Ovis aries: one gene and its partner. The protein of the gene in region 2 purifies or fractionates together with the protein of the main gene of each other region. This does not show direct contact. Links are inferred from orthologs where the notes say so. Each region holds a gene or a part of one and is shown on either strand. Other genes may lie near its edges.

Region 1 (3,819 bases), on a different chromosome or scaffold from region 2:
TAGTGGAAGGAGGCAAAACCGGAAGACCTTATGGATTCAAAACTTAGATGTGTGTTTGAATTGCCAGCAGAAAATGATAAACCAGTAAGTATGTTTATAGTTAACAATAATTGAATGTTGCAAGCTGATACTTATTTGCATACCATCTCCTGCAAAACCAAGATTTAAGTTGGCAAATTATTTTCCTTCTTCTGATGTATGAAGAGAAAAATTCGCTGAAGTCAACAAATAAGTGGGCCTTTGTGAAATCTGCCTTTGAAAGATTCACAGAAAGAACTCATTGAAATTTTTTTTGCCTTTGAAAAGCACAACCTGTTGACTGTTGAAATGTCATAAATTCCGAAGAGCTTCTTTGACTTGGGCAAAGTTCTAGGTTGCTATTATATTTAACAGTGGGAAAGACGGTGAGCGCTCAGCTCCTCTTGTACAGTGCTGTCTGCAGGCTTCCCTGTCTGCATTTCTCCTGAGCACCAACTCTCCACCTCTTGAACCCCAGATTCTCTTCAGTCAAAATGTGCTTTTAGATGAGGATTTCTCACCCTTAGCCCTGCTGACTTTCGGGCCAGGAGTCCTTCGCTATGGTGCTGTCCTGTGCCTTGCAGGGTGTGTTGTGGCATCCTTGACCTCACCCCAGTAGCATCCCTGGTCGTGATGACCTGAAGCGTCTCTGGATGTTGCCAGGTATGCCCTTCCCGAGGCAGAGTCAGTTCCCGTTGAGAATCACCCTTTTTGCTGCCTGAGCACTGAGGGTAAGGAGTGACTCCCTCCCAGCTGCTGGCTCACTTTTCTCTGTGTGAAACCAAAGCATGAGCCCGGTTGGCATGAACCTCCCTTCACCCTAGTCAAAAAACTTAAACTGTGTTAACACAGTTTAAAACCCATGCAGAGTATTAAACCACCCTGGCTGTTAATAGCTGGTGGTGGGAATAGAAATGTTCAAACTCTCAACGTTATCCATAACAATCTCCAGGAATGCTGATGCTTTGTGTCAAAACTACTTAGCATTTTTTTTCTGCTCACTAATGGACCACCGTCACTATCCCATTTCTTCGAATGATTGGTGGTCTTCGTTCCTTTTTTCCCTTCCCTCTTCCCACAGCATGTTCTGTCAGTTGTGGATAGTTGAGGACTGTATTCTGGCCCCAGCTGTGCTCTTGGAGGTTAGCTCTGTGTGTTGAGGTCTTGCTTGCCAGGGCCTCACTCCTCTCCCCTGGGAGACTAAGGGTAGAGCTCGCTGTTCTCCGTTTGCTGCATGGACCCCCAAGGGCTTCCATGCTTCCCCGGCCCCCACATACTCACTCATCCCCAGTAGGTCTTCAGAGGGGATCACAGCGCAGTCGTGGCTGGGGAAGTGAGGAACACATTGCCTCCCCAGGATGAAATACCATAGACACTGAATTTGTTGCACCTTCATCCCATCGCTGCAGTTGTCTTAAGTTCAGGAGACAAATCACCCTCTGGGTTACGTCCCCTCTGGCCTTCTGCCCCCGCCCAGCCAGTTTGGGGGATGTTCGCGTCTTCATAGTGACTTGTGGCTGATGATTCCTGAGCTTGTGCAGCTATGCTCTGCTGATTTTTCATGGCAGGAATTTGATAGTGCAGTGCGCACAGCCCCTTTTCTCTTTCTTTGAAGTATTAGTCTCAGCCGGACTTCATTATTTGCCCTCATCCATAATTTCTGGAGCCCAGTTTTAGATTATGAAGATACTAGGTGATAAAGTGATCTGTTTTAAAAAAATGTGACATTGTACAGTTTGGATGAAACGCTACCCTGGGTGGTGTCTGCTGAGACCTACTTTACTTTGCATGAAGAAGTCCTTTAATACGTGGTTGGTGACACTTGGGCTTTCATTTATTTCTGAACAGCATGATGTAGAAATAAATAAAATTATACCCACAACTACATCAAAGACAGAAACACCAACGGTGTCTAAAGCTCTGAGTTCCTCCTTGGATGACACTGAAGTTAAGAAGGTGATGGAAGAGTGTAAGAGGCTGCAGAGCGAAGTCCAGAGGCTGCGGGAGGAGAACAAGCAGTTCAAGGTAATGGCATTTTGTTTCCTGATCGTCTTCAGGGAATTGGGGCTTTGCTACTATGGTCTTGGGTGAGGAGGTTGATGCAATTTGTGGAGTTGTCTTGTATTTGCACGTTTTTCCTCCAGGCTGAAGTTTCCTAAGGTTCTCAAAACAATCCCTGGACACATGCCTACGTGCATCCCAAAGTAAGAACCAGTGTCCCTTGAGCAGTATTTTTTCAACTATTTAAACTCCTGTCTCCTCATAAAATGACAACAGACAAATAAAAAATCCATTAGTGTAAATTGAAATTAAAAAAACAACAATGGTTATCTTGAGTTCACATTTTCAAGCCCCTTTTCCATCCCCATTGGATGAGAATCTTTTTGAAGAGAGTAAAGACTGACGTGTATTCTGTTTTAAGGCAATCATCATTCTGATTTTTGAATATCCTAAATAGGTCTAGCAGTGGGGTCTCATCCTCTATCAGTATGGTCCGGAGACTGGAGCTGGGATGCTGTCACATCCATGGGGGAGATTACAGGGAACCAGGGGCTCCAGCTTGTGGCCCTGGACCTGGCGAGTGGCCTGGCGCTGGGGGGTGAGGTCGCACTGGTGCTGGAGCGAGGCAGGTGTGCTCCTCTTGGCTTTGGAGGCCTGCGGTAGTGTGGAAATGACCAGCCAAACTTGGACTCACTGTGTAACTTTGTCCATCACAGCGGCTTCTGGCCTCTGTTTGCAAGACCCTGTTAAGGCCCTTCCAGTGTTGAAAGTATGCCTTTCATACACAGGGTTAAAGAGAGTGTTTCTGAACATCTGATTGTAGGATCTTTTGTTGCAGCTTAAGTCTTGAGGCTGATCTGTTCTTTTCATCTTGATCATGTCCCCAGCCACCATAGACTGTCACTCCCTGACTGCGTAGCACCAGGTACACACCATAAATTCACTGCAGGTGACTCTTCCTTCTGTTACTCTGATGAGGTAGGAGACATGGGGGGCCAACGGGGTTTAGAAAGTGGCATCCTTGTCTTTCTCTGCAGTAATCATGCTTTGCCTCATTCAGTGACTGCTGTTGGTATGGAGTAAATTATGAGGCTGACACTCTACTTTTGGCTAAAAGTCTAAGATACGCCTAAAGCTTCTTCTTGAATGTATTTCTCTTCTTTGCCATTTAAAGTGATAAATAGGTGGAAATAGCTTCTATATAAACCCAATAAAATAAATGCTGTACTTTGCTGTGCCCATTTTTTTTTTTTTTGAAGTTAATCGAATAGCACCAGTCATTTATCAGCATGCAGCAATATTGGCCATGCCCCTCAAGCAAAGTGTCTTTAAAATATTATCAGACCAGTCTTGACATTAGAAGATTCTTTATCTTGCCAAACAAGGATTTCTTGTTTTGTGTTGTTTCATACTTTCATTTGGCCACACATTTGCTAAGACCCTCCTGTGTGCCCAGCACTGTGGGATACAGACGTGGGTGGTCCCTGCCCTTAAAATAAGCCCCAGGGTAGCCGGGGAGACACAAATACTGAACCAGTCCCACAGAGGTGGCCATGAGTGTTGTGAGGGGTGGGCTTAAGGTGCTGGCTGCCTCTTGTCATCAGATCTGTCAGACACTTGATTAGTGTGAACGAACTGAAGGAGAAGAGAAGAAAGTGCAGCTGTTGTGGAGGGTGTCAGGGGTGGATTGAGGGTAATTAGAACAGGAAGGCCTTGATGCATGCCCTATTTGGGCTTGTGAAGAAAGGAAAAGTGTCGATTCTCACAGGTCTGTGTAGGTGGGGAAAATGTCCAAGTTAT
Region 2 (3,053 bases):
CTTCCCCTTCACTTCTCCTCAGCATGAGCTTTAAGCAACTCTTCCACTTTCAGAGGGCCTCTTGGCTAGAACTGGGTGGAGAGGCCGTGCAAATCTCGGCTGTTGCCTCTTTTGAGCCTACTATATGTAAGGAGATAGGAGGACAAAATTTAATGCAACTTTGTTTTAAAACAGTTGTTCCCTGACTATAGACCAGAGTGCCTCCTAAGTCTTCTTCCATTTTTTTCCATCACAAAACAAACCTGGAATGATGTAATAAACCCAGTGACAGACTCTGGAATGAAAGCTTGGTTCTTATATGAAAGCATCTCAATCTTTTAGACCTATAAAGTACTTTAAGTGACCTTGACCTAAAAACTTGTCTCAATTTTTAACCAAAGAGCTTATTCTAAACTATTTGGTACTATTTTTCTACTTGTCTGCAATAGCCTCACAGTAGGAAACAATTATTTAAGTCCCAAGAAAGAAAAAGGAGATGAAAACAAACATAGAAAGGGAATTATAATCACTTCTAGTTAAGTTTAAATTTTGGATTTATTTCAAGTTTGTACCAAAATATATTCCAGGCAACTCTTCAGATCATCATTTTCAGTCCTAAGCCTTATGCAGTGCTATTTCAAAAGCTGCCAGGACTCTGGAAGTCAGGTGGTCCAGCCCTCAGCCCAGGAGTACAGTTACGATCCACATGATAGACTGAGCAGAGGCAATACCCATGGACTCCCCGATCTTCCGCCCTGGTAGGTTGGGGTGTGTGATCTTAGGACTATACACTTTGGTTCTGAATATTAATCAGTGAAAAAGATTAGAGCGTACACATTCTGTTTTGTTCCTATAGCTCTTTGGAGTTCATCCACCTCAGCAGCAGTTGAAAAGCAGCCTTCAGTGTTTTATCCACACTCTACCCTAGGGCAGGTGTATACTAGTCTTGATTTTTTGAGAACTCACTTTATGGAAAAAGTAATAGAAACCCAGGTCTCAAGTACTTCCCCAATTTCAGATTAGGTAAGGGATTAGAATAAATTAACCAGTAGGAAGAAATTGGGGAATTGTAGCAAGCAGCAGTCAGACGCCCTTAAGCAGTCTTGCTCAGTTTCCTGATCTAAGCAGGACCTAAGGGGAAAAGACTTAATTTTTTTCCTTCCTCGAATCATGAAGCCCATTGAAATGTGATTATTCTGCTAAAATTACTTCCAATTCTTCCAGGTCCTTCTGGAAAGCTGAATCCTAGGAAGACAAGAGAATAAGACTAGGACTTTAAATCCAAGCCAACATTTCCTAAACCATGGGTACCTGGGAATGGGCCCTTTGCTTCCTTGCTATTACCAGTCTTTTTCCCACCTTCCCAGGACAACCTGGAACCTACGAACTGTCTCCTCCCCAGGTGAGATGTATATGAACAAGCCCACATGCAAAGTGCAGCTCTCTTTTGGAGGGAAATAGGAACCACGGGAATATATTCTTTCCTGAAAAGTCCCGTGATGACTCAGTGAAAGGACCCTGTGTTTGAAAAGCTCTTAAGTATTACCTCTTTAGTGACATTTGGCAGCTCCAGGGCCAGCTTCATCCACTGTTTAGCTTCAGGGTTTTTCCCTAGTTCTTTGTAGCACTGAGAAGAGACAACAGTGAAAACCTCGGAGAAATACCACCAGAAGACTAGAAGGGAATGAGTGTATGCTTTCAAGAAAAAATGGCAACATGCATATATTTCATCTATGTTGAAACTGGCAGATGAGTTTACCTTACAAATATATATCCTTCCTGCTTTGGAAAATCCTGGCTGTAGTTCTTCAGCCTAGAGAACAGAGAATGCATTTCAGTAAGAGGTTCCGAAATCCAAGTCAGGCTAAAGTTTATTAGAGTTCCAGTATCCAACCTGGAGATTGATTCAGTGAGTCTACATTTTTTTTTAATAAGCCCTTCCAGTGGTTTCTAATCTTCCACAGAATGGGCACACATAAAACTGCCCTCTACCAGAAACCCCTCCCAATATACTAATGTCCTTAGGGAAAACAAGGTCACCCTGGCCTTTCTGGCTGCTGTCCACCCTTCCCTTCCCTCCCTGATACCTTTAGGAAGCTTGAGAGGGCATCCTGCACAGTAGCACCAAGGGGGCTTTCACTCAAGGCTGTCGCGGTTTTTTTTTCTAGCCAGCTCAGGTGAGAGACCTGCCATCAAAAGATCAAGGTGTAACTAAAAACTTAAGTATCTTTAAGAACAATGAATATTCTTTACTGAGAGAAAAAGGAGCCAAATAGGACTGCATCTAATCACCACTACCATGACTGTTTGGAGGCAGTGACACAAGCCAGACCATGTTGAGGACCCTGATCTTCCCTGCAAGGTGATCAGTGTCTCAGGAGGGGCCCTTGTGTCAAGCCCTGAAATCTAGCTCACCTGGTAGCACCACCTGCCGAGGAGAAAGTGAGCCATGGGGTTTTCTGGCTTGAGAGCAATGGCTTTGTCCACATGTTCCTAGAGTGGAAATATAAACAAGTTAACATCAGAAAGCAGAGTTACTAAGGGAAGAAAGGCAAGTCACAGAGCTATAGGGTAGGAACACCTTTGCAAAGAGCTAGGCTGGAGCAGGTCACCTGCACTAGACCAGCACCAGGGAAGGAAGAGAAGCCTTTCTCACCTTGAAGCTAAAGCCACTCTGGATGCGCCTCTGGATGCCCTCATGCTCAGCCAGCTGACCACAAAGCACTGCATACCTAGGGGGGAAGCAGCGGCAGGCTCAGGCACAGGACTGAGGACCATCCCTGCCAGGAAGGGGCTTCCCACCCATGGCCGATGGCACTGCCCAATACTTCATCTGTACATAATTCCTCTTTTCACAGACCTATGGTCCCAATTCATATTCTTTAGCAGATACAGTGGTAGGTTCACAGTTCCCCAAAGTACACTGGGTACAAAAAAGATAGGCTCTTTTATACTTAAAATTTAGACAAGGTCTCAATCCAAATGTCCCCTCATGATCAGTATAGCCATAGCTGTCATAAAAACTTAAGCAGGCCTCTAAAAGTCAGCATCAGTGTGTAAGAAATGTGAATACA

The links.
Region 1: the proteins of RMDN3 (region 2) and VAPB purify together in Homo sapiens (affinity purification with mass spectrometry; 4 studies listed by BioGRID and IntAct, counting the BioPlex papers as one, with this or other methods). This does not show direct contact. The link is inferred for Ovis aries from reciprocal best matches to the Homo sapiens genes RMDN3 and VAPB.

Annotation. Positions count from the first base shown.
Region 1 is NC_056066.1:57,609,117-57,612,935, reverse strand, and holds part of VAPB (vesicle-associated membrane protein-associated protein B/C), read left to right. Parts: intron 1-3; coding exon 4-84; intron 85-1,866; coding exon 1,867-2,043; intron 2,044-3,819. UniProt on the Homo sapiens protein: Endoplasmic reticulum (ER)-anchored protein that mediates the formation of contact sites between the ER and endosomes via interaction with FFAT motif-containing proteins such as STARD3 or WDR44.
Region 2 is NC_056060.1:34,496,597-34,499,649, forward strand, and holds the end of RMDN3 (regulator of microtubule dynamics protein 3), read right to left. Parts: exon of another isoform or gene 2,712-3,053; coding exon 2,636-2,711; exon of another isoform or gene 2,473-2,635; coding exon 2,395-2,472; exon of another isoform or gene 2,166-2,394; coding exon 2,067-2,165; exon of another isoform or gene 1,793-2,066; coding exon 1,526-1,792; exon of another isoform or gene 1,225-1,525; coding exon 1,171-1,224; 3' UTR 516-1,170; downstream 1-515.